Linked DNA regions of Arabidopsis thaliana. The protein of the gene in region 1 interacts with the protein of each later gene in a pairwise test. Each region holds a gene or a part of one and is shown on either strand. Other genes may lie near its edges.

Region 1 (8,702 bases):
ATACGTTTTATGTGGACAATACAAGAGCGTTTCTACTCAACTCTCTGTTACTCTCTGACCTTACACACACTAACACACTCATGTGACACACTGACGCATATTTATCAATTTACACGTATATATATTGGTATATATGTAACGTAAATATATATGTGACTTGCTTTTTGTTTGTATATATTAATAAGCTCTTGTTTTGCCAAAAATACATGAAAGCCGGTATGTTTTATTGTGCATCGCAAGCATCGACCGCTACGGCTAACGGCGAACGTACCGTCACCGCTCGAGCCATCGACCGTCATAACCCGATTATCAAAGATGGTCGTAGATCTTTCACGGCACCGTGTTCCTCCGGAGACGACTACGTTGCTCCCTACCGTCAGCTTTCGAAAATTACGAGAGTACCCTCCTCCTCCGGCGATGGAAAGAGTGTTCAGGTAGATAAAGGACGGAGAAGCAATTCAGGGTCGTTGATGAAGCTGATTAGCTATGACGTCAGCTTAGCGAGGAAGAGTTTTGGCTGTGTTGTTGCAACACCCAAAACTCCTCCTGGTTCAACTAGGTATCTTCTGGGATCCGACCCTGTTTCTTTAGCCGGGTCTACGGGTCAGGATACGGTTGCAACGGAGGAAAGTGAAGCTTCTGCGCCAAAAAGAGGCTCTTCTGGTCCCGTAGAAGAGAAGAAGAAGTCTTCTGGTTCAGGTTCAGACCAGGCAAGTAAAGTAAAGTTGTCGTTTTACTTTTACTGTGTACGGATGGCATGAATGTTAATAAAGAGAGCTTGGAGGGTGATTTGTGTTGTATTTTTTGGACTGCAGGTAGTTGTTCTTAGAGTGTCTCTCCACTGTCACTGCAGAGGCTGTCAAGGCAAAGTGAAGAAACATCTATCCAAAATGCAAGGTGAATCCTCTGTTCTCACTGTTCTTACCCTCTATTGTTACAGTATTTACTTTTCTTTTACTTGCTTTTCTTATCAAAAACAGCAATACATATTTTACTTAGGTTAGTATAAGAGATCAAATTATCTAACTATGAGCAAGTTTTAGTGCAAACACATTTTTTGGTTTTAAGTTGGGTACGGGACCTATAGCCTTAATGGGTAATAATGCATTGTCACTATACGTGCAAGTGTGTAACCGATCTGATCATGTTTCTACAATTATCTCTTTCATATTCAAAAAAGGTGAAAAATGATATTTCTGATATAATACTTTTGTTAAAGTTTCTATAAAATATCAAAAATATAATATTATTTACAATATCTTGAAGATATTATATATGATAATTTAAGGTAAAGTAAAAAAGATATTTTGGGTTTGGTGATACCCAAATGACTTGGGCCAAATCCATAGATTTTATCTATGAAATAGTTTGTAAATGGATTTAGTTAAAGTTCATGCTAATGGTTTTTTTTTTTTTTTTTTGGCAATAAGTAGGTGTGACATCCTTCAACATAGATTTTGCATCAAAGAAGGTAACTGTGACTGGAGACATCACTCCTTTGGAAGTATTGGGTTGCCTCTCAAAGGTCAAAAATGCCCAATTCTGGACACCACCTCCACCATCAATCCCAAGGGCAAATCCGGAAACCTAAAAGAACCACTCACTTTTGTGTATTTGTGTTGTCTTCCTAGCTCTTATTTGCTTGAATCAGATCAATCGTAAAATGTGGACTTTCCTACTTTTATGATTAAACTGTCATTACAGGGACACATGCTTCTTTATGATAAAATTGTCATTACATACTGCATTATCCTGGTGTTTTTTTTTTGTTTCCTTCCCTTAAACTATGTAACAAAGAGATTATTTAACTTTCTAGAAGATTGCACCTACCACAAGCTCTGTTATGAGTTCATCTGTCAGCATTACCTCAATCTCTCTACCTATGATTTCAATGTCATCTTCTAAACTCAGCCACTGCAACTCCTTCTCCTCCACATCATATTTGCTTGGTTTCTCGTCTTTTCTTGTGACCAAATCTCGCAGAGTCTCTTGTATCTTGTTTGCATCCCATTTCGGGCATACCTTTGTGGATTTAACCCAAGGGTGTGGATCCGACAACTGCTTTAACATATGTAGTACTTCTCTGCTGATCTGGTCAAAAAGAAGCTTTCTTTCTAACCGGGTTGAGGTTTTCACGCTGGAGTACTTCTTCTCGAGATCCTCAAACAAGGATGGCTCTACAGGTGTTGTTGCCATGACAATGTTGTGGTCTGAGTCACTGAAACTGGAGTTGGCTAGGAGATCAACTAAGTATGATGACTTCCAGTCTTCTTCTCTGAGCTCCTTGGTAATCATAGCCTCATCAGTTATTGTGGATGACTCCTCTTGATCAGTGTCTTCATCACTCGAAACGAGCATGCCACCTTCTTTGTAAGTAGCTGACTCTAGTTTGAGGAGCTGAAGTTGCATTCTGAGTCCTGGAACGTAGAGATAACAGTTAACACCTCAAAACATTTATAGTTACCCCGTGGATCTACCCGAATCAATTTTTGTGATACAAAAATATTTTAATGCATGAAAGAATTACTGAACTAGCAAGCACTGATTGACTACCTCGGAGATCCGCGCTAACACTCTCAAAGCATTCCGAACCTGATGATACATCATCGTCGAACGAAGCTTCTAGAACTGAAACCGGACTTGGTTGATCTCCTTCCTTTGAGCTTTCACGAGGCTGTGGTGGATCAGGAACCGAAGAATGATTCACATCCTCAGTTGTCCTCCTTGAGATATCCTAGAACATCAGTAAACAATAAGATATATGTGATTATAACAACCTGTATATTCAAAACTCATGCTCACTTACAGGGTCAGTTACCGAGGTGACAGTTGACAAATCTAGAGCCTCAGAAGACATTGCTGTCTTGATATCATCAGAAGCTGAACTATCTTCAGTGTCTGAATTTGCATCTCCTGAGAAACTGCTACGTGCTTTAAAAGGAGATGCTGACTTGCTTGGAATCCCGTCGTTCATATAAACAAACTTGCTTAAACTTGGGGTGATGCTGACCTCTGGCGAACTATTGTATGATGAATGAGATTTGTTACTGCCAGGTCTAGATTTGCTTGACAAGAAAGACTCTCCGTGATGAGAAGAATCCCCCTGCACTAATGCATCTCGATTGATCAACCCCTTAGGCAACACTATGGTGTAACCACCAGCGCTCTCCTGGTTCATGATGGTTCTGGATTTTGAAAAACTTCTTGAGCAGGATCCTTTCCAACCATCCCTACTGCTGATTCCAACTGGTTCTGGCAGTTCAGGCCACTGAATGTTGTTCTCAAATCTTTTACTAATCCCATCTTCGAAACTGAGTCCGTTAAAACTTGCTGGCCTTGCCTCCCTATCTGAAGTGGCAAGCATTTCAGCTAATGTCCCACTTCTACTAATTTCTATCTCGTGCTCAAACTTGTGTGTCAGCTTCCATCTCTCTGACAGTCTCCTCTTAGCTTCCCTACTCACAGATGATGTTGTTGACTTGGAAGGCAAAGATCGATGGTAGTTCCTACGGTTGAAGGCGGTTCTTGTTCCTGAAGTTACTGGCACTAGCTCTGATTCACTTGCGGAGTCACTCCCTGATGAGCTTTCATCCCCTGCATATCCTCTAAATCCTGAAGTCTCAAAACTCATGGCACGACCATTGCCACAGCTCACCTTCCTTTGCCTAGACATTATTTTGGCCATTTCTCCACAATCTCTTGAATTCTGTCTTGACAGGCGGACATCTTCATTACTTTTCTGCCTGCCATGAGTGGTGGTGCATGGAAGCCTACGATCTGCTCTGAACTCATCGGAAGAAGAGCTTGGCGATGCAAAAGTTCTAGCAGCATAACGTGGCTCCCCGAGGTTAGGTTTCAGAACAACAATCTTGGTTGGCTGCAACTCACTCCTCTTTCTCAGCTCCTCATTTGGTAAGTCAATCGTGTCATAAGAAGCATGCCTAGTATGAGAACGGCTAGGACAACCACTACCACCACCACCATTCCGATGAGGCGACCGATGACTCTTCCTCAACAAGTCCCTATCAACTTTCTGAGTTTTCAGACTATCCACATGCCTCTGACTGTTTGGCGACTTCAAGGATGGTGCTTGACTGTACTGTGGCTTGTGAGGTGTGCTTTGAAGATCATGCAGATGTTTTGTAAATAATGAATCTGGGTGCTGAAGAAACTTCAGTAAGAGGTCTTTGTTAGAGTCTAGAGCCTCAAGAGCATCATTAAACTCTTTAGAATGACGAAGTTTATCATCCGTTGATAGCCGCTTAGCCTCCATGAACTTCTGCCGTATGAATGCCATCTCCGCCTGTGTTAGATTAGCATTCACCCTCCCCTGATGATATAAGTTTCTGTTACTCTCTGCCATCTTTGCATCCAAAACTTCGAAAACATCTTTAAACTTCTGCTCACCCTTTGAGCGCTTTCCAAGAGATTTATAAGAAGTGCCTCCACCACTCCTGCCTTGCTGATTCTCCATAGACTTTTGTTGCTTATGAGAAGAACTCTGAGAAGGCAAAACATCGAGACCCATCAATCTCGCTATAATGCTTGGCGATCTCTTTTTAGATTCTTTCTGCTTTGACATTTCTTGTGCTAACAAACTTTTCATCGGTACTCCAGTAGGAAAATCTTGCTGCAACAGCAATATGAGCAACAAGTCACTTTCAAACAACAACAACAGGAACCAAACATTTCCAGTCAGATATCTTAAAAGAGTAAATAATACATACCTTGTTTTCACTCAAAGCTTCACAATGACAAGAGTTAAATTCAGGAGAAGAAGACCTTGGAGATTTGAGTTTCTGACTCTTCTGTTTCTTTCCTGAAAAAATGAATGACTTTTTAGGATTCTCAATTGATAATAAAGCAATCAACTTTACGACAACGGAAGAAACTTTAATAAAAAAAATGGAAACTTGGGAGACAAAAAGAGTAAATTGTAGCACAATAAGTGGAGGAAGAAGAAGATAAAAAACACAATAAAGCATTGAGGTTAAGCAAAAACACTCATTACATGTAAATCTAAATCATTAAATCTGTTGAAAAAAAAGAAATTTTTAACAAACAACCAAATCATGACAGTACTACTACCCCAACAAACACTGCCCTGATAATTTTTTCTAAAAAAGCTTTTCTTTACTTTATTATTATAAGAAAAGAAAAAAAAAAGAGAGTAGCAATCTGTAATCTTCTTCTTCTCTCTACCCACTGCTTTAAAACTATAGTTTTTTTTCCACAAGAAACAAATAAACATTTCTTTGTTTTGTAGCTCAAGATTTTATAAAAATACATTTCTCTATAGTTTAAGAAGTAACCAATTGTGGTATTGATGACCTCCCTCACTACGAGAGACTCTCGAACAACCCGAACAAGGAAACAAAAAGACATCAGTAATTGCTTTTGTTTTGGTTTGCTCAGAAAATCTCAGAACCTTTTAACTAAAATATTTATAAAATTGATTGACCAACAAAAAATACACAATTTGCTCTAAATTGACAAATTCGAGTTCTATGTTAGAACAAACGAAAACGCATCAAATCGGCGGTTTCTCTTCAACCAATCAGAAACGGTTGTGTAAGAAAAAAGCGTGAGAGAGAAAAGCTGTGACCTTGGTGAGAAGTGGGCAGTGTTGAAGCTAATCGATCTCGAGAACTGAGGTCGCTGAGTCGAAATCTGTTCATCTTTCACTCACTGTTCATCTCCGGTGAAAACATTTCATTCGGAGGAAAAAGCACGGAGAGGTGAATCTAGGTCTGGAAATTCACTGGGTAAGAGAAAATCAGAGGAAGATTTAGAGAAATCTAACTCGTGAGAAGAAATGCAGACGATTCTCTGGGATTACGGGGAGATCTAAGAGAAGAGAAGGAACCCAAGAAGAAATTAAACGATTAGAGAAGAAATTGAGTGAAAGAGAGAGAGAGAGAAGAGCGAACCAGACGAGACGACGGAGAAAAGAGGAAATGGGAAATGGCTTCTGAGTTTATTTGAAAGTTCAAATTTTTTTAATCTTTTTTTTTTTTTTTGAAGTTTAGTAAAGGGGGGCGTGTTTGGTACTATTTTAAAAACTTACTGAGTTCTGTGTATCCGTGAATTGCTGCCACTTGTCTCTCCCCTTCCATTTTCCTTCTTCTTCTTTTGTCGTACCGTCGGATTTCTTTTCTAAAAAATAAAGAAATAGTACTACAGTATACAATCAATAACCAACAAATTGGTACCGTAAAAACAAACTTCAACAAAGTTGGAATTATTTATCAAGATTTATAACCAAGTTTAGAATAAATAACCAAGTTTTCTGTATTATGTTCTTCTTCTATCTATATAGCAAACGATATTTTCTTTCGGGACAATTTTTAGGTTCAATCTAGGAGTGAACATTTGTATTCACCTTTTTTAGTTTAAATTAATTATTATGTCATGTTATACAACACTTAAATAGAAACTAAATATTAAAAACAAAAAACAAAATAAATTAAGAACACATTAACAAAAAAATTAATAACCTTAAGTTTTTCTTTTAATTAGCCAATTAAATTTTACTATCTAATCTAACTAAAATAATTAATATTATCTAAATAAATAAAAATAATTCATTGAAACCTCTTAAATTGAATTAATTATAAAATCTAACACTAACCATTCTTTTATAAATACAAACCGACATATAATCTTAACTTAATAGAATTATGGCTTAAGTTTTCTATTCCTGTTTTTTGTTTCCTCTAAAAAGTGAGTTAAAATAAAATTTTAAAAATATTTTACCCTTATCTCAGATTTAAGAATGTTTCTAAGTCATCTATATTTTATATTAACCTCTGACTGAAGTCTCTTGTCTACAAGTCTCTTCCTAGAGAAGATTAGGTTAAGCAAGACTTGAAATCTATTCAACTATATGGTCCTTTATCCTCTTAAATCTATGCTAATTACTCGAAAAAACAGAAAAACAAAAATTTATGCTCATAAAAAATTCGAAATGTATACTAACAGTGACAAATAGTAGAACCTTTCAAGTCCCTAATAAAGGGTTAGTTCGTGAGCTCACCAAATATGACTATAAGTAGAAAATGACAGAAATTCTTACAGCCTTCGCTTTCAAGATAATTAATCTGACACATTGCTCAAAAAAAACAGGTTTAATGACGACTATGAAACATTTTTCCAAACACAAACCGCTAACTTACTTGAAGTTACTTCGTATTAAATTTACGGTTAGATTATAATTTTAATGCATAATGTTTTGCTAATTAATCACATACTATATGCACGCATTAATTGCATTTACTAACTATCATGAATTGACTATATAGTCTCTTTATTTATCTCCTAGAGAAGAACATAAGATAAAGATCATATATGCACAAATGTGTGTAGAGTGTAGTTTCAAAATTTATTCGCCGCAAGACAAACAAAAAAAAAAAATCAAAAGGAAAAAAAAAATCGAATAGAAAAGAACAAAATATAAAAGCAAATAAATCTTTAACTTTCAATTTTTCATGTCTTCCTTGATTTATGGAGGTTTTTTAGACGTTGATGCATCCATAGATGATAGATCACCTAGACGCCTACACACATATCATTACTTTTATGATTGTTGTTCTTTTTACAATCAGTGAAACAAAACTGAATATGATGGTTCGAAATAAATTCAATTTCTTGGTTTTTTTTTGTAATAGCTAGACCACCGAGGTCACAAAACCTAAACGTTTTTCCAACTTTTGTATTATAAAGTACCACTGGACTAAATTTGGAACGTTTCCAAAACTACATCTACAGGAAAGGATTATATATTGAAGAATTGGTATTATTTCGGTTTATTAAACGAAAGAAAAAGTATTATTCGGACATGCGTGTATAGCACAAATACTATTTTCTTCGATTAGCAGCTTTAGCTAACATTTGATTATTATATGAATGAACAATTTGTAAAACCGAAAAACGTTGTTGACAAAAACCAATGTTTAGAGTTAAGTACAGCTGCATGGACAAGCTAAGATTCGTCTTCGTGACTACTCGTAAGTCAATAAAGTACCAATTAATAACCATATTAAAGCTAAATAAATAAACATGCAAGTTGTAGTATTTAATTGGGAAAAGTTATCAGGCGTAGAAAAAATACGAAAAAAACAGTAACAAAAGACAAATAAAAAAAAGGTAAAGCAGATTCCTTGACCTATGTAGTCGATGCTCATGAAACGGTTATGCGTTTGATTCATTATGGCCTATGTAGATGTAAGAAAATAGATCTATAACCCTAAAACTCTTACCGTAATTGTTTTAAGAAAAATAATAAAAAGAGAAACAATGAGATTGACCTAAAATTCCATAGTATTTACGTAAATATTTATACCACCGTAAATTAATTTAATATATGTATATAAAGAATATTATTATTTTTTGTTTTGTCCATGTTCACAGATTTTGTCTTTGGCTTGTTGTCTTGTTGATATGTCAAACGTCTCCTTCTCCATGAAATAACTGGTCGAACATAATCTACTATTTACAAACACTCACAATCTTGTTAGATTTTGTTGTGTGTATCTTATGCAAAAATCTTCACACAGGACTTCAAGGCATGAGGCTAAATTAGCAATATATGTGAAATTGTGATATATCAATTCACAAAAATGATCTTTTATTTATATTGGACACTACTTAAGTGTTGTTACTCGTATATGAACAAATTTAAAATCTTATTGATCATATACTCT
Region 2 (7,160 bases), on another chromosome or scaffold:
CCCTTCAAAGACACGCCACGACCAATATACCCTAATTTGAAGTCCAAAGTGGCATCAATAATCCTCCATGAATTGGAGTTAATTTCATAAATTTGGAATTCGTGGTCGTAGCCAAAACCAGTGTGTGCCAATATATTGTAGCTATTATTTTGGTAGGATCCGAGAGTATAGTTGTCATATAAGTCATGGGTTGAATCCACCTTGTTTGACCAGTACACGGGTTCCATACCGCGAGCCAAGTATTGTCCTCCTTGGTGACGCAGACGCATAACAATAAGCCGTCGCAGTGAGAGACTTTATATATCTCGAATTGATCTTGATCTAGACAACTAGGATATTTAGGGTTGATTAGGGTAAATTCAACTGTGACTTTTACATGTGGAAGTCTATGGAGATCGACACTCATCGAGCGTACCCTAAGCCCTTTAGACATGTGAATCAGAAACTGCTTTGGGCCTTTATCCAAGTGTTTTCTTGTGAATCTCCTATCCTTGAATAAACAGTTCCATCCTTTGCAAGTAGACCCTAACTGTTTCAAAGACATAGCTGGAACGCGGTAGAGTATCTCTTCTAACAAATGCTCTGGAAGTTCCGACATCATTGTCGTTTGATCAAATGTTGGTTAGGGTTTTGTATAGTACTTCACGTTTATATAAATCCATGCTCAGGCGACGAACAATTTAAGTTACTTTTACGGCAAGTCAACACTCTTTAATTCGTTTCCTATAAAAAGCGTCTTTCTTATTCTCTTCAATCTTCAATATATGAAAGAGCTGAGGAATATGGAAATGAAAGACCCGAAAAAATGGAATATGCACATTATGACAAATCACTATGTAAATGTTTGATTTACTTAGTGAAAAGTGCAACATCTTAACTTAATAAAATTATCTTATACCATCTTAACTATTTTTTTTTAGTTTTATTTTCTTTTAGGATTATGCTTCGTTTAATTAAATTGTTCACACTGTAAGGTTGGACTGAATTCATAGTATATATTTATAAAAATGCAAATTCTTACATGCATGAGGATGAGGAGAGAAAATAAAACACAATCCTAATGGAACCCATAAATTACGTTACCACCCTTTAAACAAAACTATATTTCATAACAAAAGTAAACATGCGTTGTGAAATAATGATAGGATAGGCATATATTAAGGAGTGGTATTAGGATCAAAGTCTCTAGACTCCACTCGTTTTGTCTGATTCTTCAAGGCATAGCAAAGAAGTGGCACATGGGTTCACGCAGCTTTCTTCCTTGCTACCCTTTTTCCTTTTTTTCCCTTTATTTTATCCTCCTCTCTCCTTTCAGATTTATTTGGTGATGTACGTTACGGTAAAATATGGTTACATACTTAATTACATGGACGACTTTTATTTATGTGTAAAACTATAATAAAGTCGTAAAAATCAGTGGTTTGAAAAACAGTTAAGAGTTTGCGGTATCAAAAACTTAGTACTTAGTCGGCGGTACAAAAGTTTATCATGAAAAAATAACGAGGTTAAAAAATGGCATGGACTTCAAATATAACGTCTCCGAAATATGAGAGAATAATTTTACTTTTGGGTAATGGAGTTCATCTCTCCCTAAATGATGCCCAAAACGTTGTATTCATAAGAAAGTACGTTTCTCGAATTTAGATGTTGCATTATGGTACCAAAGTGGTGGTATACCATATACATATCCAGCATTTCACATGAACCATATGTGTATTAATTAGGTGCCATATGCAGCTAGTCTTTCTACTACACGCCATAGAAGTAATACGTATTTAATTATGTATATCGATATATGTAATGCCTTAAACTATGTGATGTGTCCAATCACGTATTATCATCTATAATATGCGTTTGTTCCTTTTGCATTTAGTAGACACTGAGATTCGCATGATACGTTAAACCGAATCTCATAACTCTATATGAATCCAAGGTCCACATACTCACTAGTCACTACAATTGACTAGTTTATGGTAGCTGAAATTGATCACAACGTACCTAATTCCGATTTCTATATCTAGTGTACGTATTGATATTCTTAATTTAGTAATAGTTTTGGAAAATATAATCTGAGTTTAGTATATTCGTTGTCTTTGTTACTTTTAAATTTTAATAATAGTCTAAATAGATCTATATTTTATCGAAAGGTCTCGTTGTAGTGGAAGCATGTGAGTACGGAATACTGATTAAATAAAATACCTGTTAAGTAAAGATTGCAGAATTTCCGACTTGAGGAATATCAAACTGTATAAGCTGCTTAATGTGTACTTCTTGTATCTGGGAAAAGTATCTATTTTCTTTCTGTAAATTTAAAGAAAAGTTTCAGACACCATCCTGTTTTTATACATTTGAACTACCCACCTATATAACTCGCATTTAACCACTTTACTAAAATAACCTATATAAACATATAATTTTAATGGGTGGAACAAATGTTTTGTTGTCAACAAGGTTAACATGCTTCTATTGAACAAATACATATATGAAAATAGTCATATAGTTATTTATTCCTAACTTAGGCTAATAATCTCAAGTGATCTTTAAGAATAGGATTCTAAAATATGAGTAGAATAGGTCATAGGTGTTAAGATTCATATACTTTTCTTATTGTTGTCCATTAGAAGTAGAACCAACCAACCTTACTTGAGAAAAAAGAGAAGAAGCATTATCCCTCGAAAAGAGAAAAAGCGAAACAAAGATATTTGGGACATCGAACATTTTCCCTCTTTTCATGGGCAAAGCATTTAAATCTAATCTTCACTAATTACTAGTTATACCTTTTCCTTACTAATTATCAGACAATTGAACATATTGACCAAGTCAACATATTTTATCTGTAATAATTAATTATCTACCTTACAATCAAAAGATGAATTCACAACTAACTAAATAAATCACAAGAAAAAATACCAGAAACAATTCCATGACATTAATACTCAATAAACATTCAACTAAGTGTCTGCTACAAAAAACTCAGGTTTATTTCTCATTATTACTTTTGTGTTTATTATTTTTTTGTAATAAAGATGCACACCAAGAATTAACTTTTTGAAATAAACAATATTAGAAGAGATCCAAGCGACAAAATTCACTGTAAGCTACTAAAGAAAAATAGTAGAAAACATAGTACTACTACTTAATTGTCTAATTTGCTTACTAATTAATTAGTTTATTGACTAATCAGAAAAAGTAACATGTTTGAAGTTAGTGTTTAAGAATTAATACAAATGTTGCGTCATCATCTCTCGCTGTCTTGTCAAATCTGTAACTGCATATTTATTTATAAATCTCTCTTCTCTTTACTCATTCTCTTCTCTCTCACTTTCTCAAACAATCTCTCTCTCTGGCATTTGGATTTGGAAGTGCTTTTTGTATATATATCCAACAAAGGAATCAGATCGGAGATGTCGGATGTTTCCGGTGACGGAGATTTATCGGCGACGGTTACTGAACATGAAGTAACTCCACAACCGCCGGTTTCTTCGGCGACGTATCCGTCATTAACGGTGTCGGCGTCTTACAAAGAGAGCAGCGGAGGTAAAAGCTCGTCGAAGAGGAGACCAATAAGGCCGAGTTTCGACGCTGCGGCTGATAATGAGTTTATTACTTTGCTTCATGGCTCGGATCCAGTGAAAGTGGAGCTTAATCGACTAGAGAATGAAGTTAGAGGTCTGATAATGCTGTTCGATTTTTTTATTTTTTGTCGATTCGGTTTCTGATTATTGGTTGTTGGGGGGATGTAGATAAGGATCGGGAGTTAGGAGAAGCAAACGCTGAGATCAAAGCGCTTAGGTTGTCTGAGAGACAAAGAGAGAAAGCTGTTGAAGAGGTTTGTTTGTGTCTGAATTTTGCTATTTTTGTCTGAAGCTTTTTCACATTTTACCAATTCTTAATCATTTCTTGATGTTTTGGTAAATTATCTCCATTTTTGGTTAAGCCAATCAATAATGGTTGATAAATTTCACACATTTAGCAATTTCTCAGGGACGATTATTAATCTCTACATTTTTGGTTCAACCAATCAAATAATGGTTGATGAATTTCACATCTGGGTCACTTTATTTTACTACAAAGTCTTAGTTTCCTTGTTAGTTGAAGAAATAATTTATAATGAATTTAGGTGCATTTATCGTAGTGTGGTATTTGGGCAATGTGGTTGGAGAAGAACATTCAGAATTTAACTTTGCCTTTTAGTTTTGATCAATTATAACATCATGTGTTTGTTCTTGACTTTTATGTTTTTAACAGTGGGATTTTTTATTTACACATTCTCTTCTTGTGGAATGAAGTTTCCTCTATGTTTTTTTGTTGTTGTTGTAGCTTACTGAGGAGCTTACTAAGTTGGATGAGAAGCTCAAGTTGACTGAATCCATTCTCGAAAGCAAAGTATTGTTCGATAATCTTTCCTTGGTTCGATGATGTTCACCTTTCGTTTCTTAAGCTTATAGACATATGATATCAACCTTGCTGCAGAATCTAGAAATCAAGAAAATCAATGAGGAAAAGAAAGCATCAATGGCTGCTCAGTTTGCTGCTGAAGCCACTTTAAGAAGAGTCCATGCTGCTCAAAAGGATGATGACATGCCTCCTATTGAAGCCATCCTTGCTCCATTAGAAGCTGAACTTAAGCTTGCACGATCAGAGGTATATTGTCATTTTAAGTCTAACTGCTTGCTGTTTACTTTCATATGGGATATTGAAAGTTTATGAGGTCACTGATCAAATCTCTTGTATCTGTGTAGATTGGAAAGCTTCAAGAAGATAACAGGGCTTTGGACCGTCTGACTAAATCAAAGGAAGCTGCCTTACTTGAAGCTGAGAGGACCGTTGAAGCTGCCATGGCAAAAGCCGCTATGGTTGATGATCTTCAGAATAAGAACCAGGAGCTAATGAAGCAAATTGAAATCTGTCAGGTTCTGTGGTCGCCATCTTGTTCTTTGTATTTACTTAATCTATGGATTTGCCAACAATCTGATTAACTTTATTTTCTGTTTTAGGAAGAAAACAAAATTCTAGATAGAATGCATAGGCAGAAGGTTGCTGAAGTGGAAAAGCTTACTCAGACAGTACGAGAGCTAGAAGAGGCTGTTCTTGCAGGTGGTGCTGCTGCAAATGCCGTGAGGGATTACCAGCGGAAATTTCAAGAGATGAATGTAACTAAACACACTTCATAAAGTCTCTAATTTCTTGTCACAACAATTGCCTACTGATGTAGGAATAATTCTTGTTTTTGTCTTTCAGGAAGAGCGGAAAACTCTTGACCGGGAGCTTGCACGTGCAAAGGTTACAGCAAACAGAGTTGCCACTGTGGTAGCAAATGAGTGGAAAGATGGTAATGATAAAGTGATGCCTGTGAAGCAATGGCTCGAAGAACGAAGGTTTCTACAGGTTTACTTTGATATGATGGCCCCTCTCCTAGATTCTTAGGACGCAAATTATTTGCAGTGAGCAAGGCCCATCCATATCTACATTCTCACTTCTTGATCCTCAACTTTTTTGCAGGGAGAAATGCAGCAACTTCGTGATAAGCTCGCCATAACAGACCGGGCTGCAAAATCCGAGGCACAGTTAAAAGTAACAAATCTTATCCATTAGTCAGCTTCTTTCAGTTGATCTTGTTACACAGAACAAGAAGTAATATATTTTGTTTGTGCAATTTCAGGAGAAGTTTCAACTGCGGCTTAAAGTGCTTGAGGAGACACTTCGAGGAACTTCAAGCAGCGCCACCAGGAACACACCCGAGGCAAGAAGCATGAGTAATGGACCTTCTCGCAGGCAGTCGCTTGGTGGAGCTGAAAACTTACAAAAATTTACATCAAACGGTGCTTTATCAAAGAAAGCTCCAGCATCTCAGATGAGGCATTCATTGTCTATTAATTCAACTTCGGTGTTGAAGAATGCTAAAGGAACATCTAAGTCATTTGATGGAGGCACAAGATCCGTGGATAGAGGCAAAGCACTTTTAAACGGACCTGGGAATTATTCCTTCAACAAGGCTACTGATGACTCTAAGGAAGCAGAGTCAGGTAATGGGTGGAAAGAAAATTCAGAGGAGAAGCCACAAAGTGAAGACCCTGAAGCAGCAACTGAGGACAGTGTCCCTGGTGTTTTGTATGATTTACTACAGAAAGAAGTAGTTTCTTTGAGGAAAGCCTCTAATGAAAAGGATCAAAGCCTCAAAGACAAAGATGATGCCATCGAGGTAAGAGTTCTGTTTCTTTAAGTTCTGTTTCTTTATGCCATATTAATCTTGTTTAAAGAAGAACATTCTTGTTGTAAACGGAGGAAGTAATGATACGTTGATGTTCGTAGATGCTAGCGAAGAAGGTGGAAACATTAACAAAGGCAATGGAGGTTGAAGCAAAGAAGATGAGACGGGAAGTAGCTGCAATGGAAAAAGAAGTTGCTGCAATGCGTGTGGAGAAAGATCAGGACGCCAGAGCCAAAAGGTTTTCAAATAGCAAGAGCCCATCCAACACCGCCCAGATTCTTGCGGGAAGGTAGAGCTATGTGGTTTTTCACTTTGTATTACACATTTCATGGTTAGCTATAATGCTATATACTTCTTAGTTCATAATTTGGTATTCAAACTAAATTTGGAGTTTGGATTTGCGCAGAGCTGCTGGACGAAGTGGCGGGTTAACGAAGAGTACCCAGTGAAGGGAGATTCAAGAAAATAACAAGTAAAAGAATGTCCTTGGCTCTTGTTATTCAGCTGTTTTAACCTTATATCATGGCTTTTACTTTGTTTTTGTTTACCTCATGTGATTGGTTGTATCACCATATATAACTTAGCATGCTGATAATCCCATCCTCACACCTATAACCTAGTAAAAAGATAAGAAAGAGAGTTTGTGACATAGATTTGGTGTTAAAGTGGTTAGAGGGAGGAGAAGAAAAGCCGAGGGAGAGAGTGAGAGATGTTGACATTTTGGCTAACATTTTCATCTCTCTTTTCGGGAGTTAGTTTGTTTTTGGTGTATAGGTTTGGTATTTGGCTTCTCTAGAGCTTGTGTACCTCTGATTCCTTTTATTTGTTTGTTACTCTATTGCACTCTTTGTGTGATTTATTCGTTTGTATTTTGGGTTTGCTGATATATAATATATGATTTGATATATTTGAACAAATCACATCACAACAAGTACTCGAAGATTTCAAA

Evidence for each region. Proteins that work in one complex are often made in the same cells at the same time.
Region 2: the proteins of TRM19 (region 1) and MAP70-2 interact in a two-hybrid assay, tested with the Arabidopsis thaliana proteins (one large-scale study listed by BioGRID).

What each region holds. Positions count from the first base shown.
Region 1 is NC_003074.8:19,844,993-19,853,694, forward strand, and holds TRM19 (afadin), read right to left. Parts: upstream 5,400-8,702; 5' UTR 4,986-5,399; coding exon 4,728-4,985; intron 4,631-4,727; coding exon 2,807-4,630; intron 2,735-2,806; coding exon 2,554-2,734; intron 2,418-2,553; coding exon 1,813-2,417; downstream 1-1,812. Other genes in the region: NAKR3 (Chloroplast-targeted copper chaperone protein), read left to right, coding at 207-710, 816-897, 1,431-1,591.
Region 2 is NC_003070.9:8,759,501-8,766,660, reverse strand, and holds MAP70-2 (microtubule-associated proteins 70-2), read left to right. Parts: upstream 1-3,191; 5' UTR 3,192-3,227; coding exon 3,228-3,669; exon of another isoform or gene 3,670-3,743; coding exon 3,744-3,829; intron 3,830-4,320; coding exon 4,321-4,386; intron 4,387-4,473; coding exon 4,474-4,644; intron 4,645-4,742; coding exon 4,743-4,913; intron 4,914-4,997; coding exon 4,998-5,153; intron 5,154-5,241; coding exon 5,242-5,388; intron 5,389-5,502; coding exon 5,503-5,574; intron 5,575-5,662; coding exon 5,663-6,202; intron 6,203-6,312; coding exon 6,313-6,500; intron 6,501-6,617; coding exon 6,618-6,660; downstream 6,661-7,160. UniProt on the Arabidopsis thaliana protein: Plant-specific protein that interact with microtubules.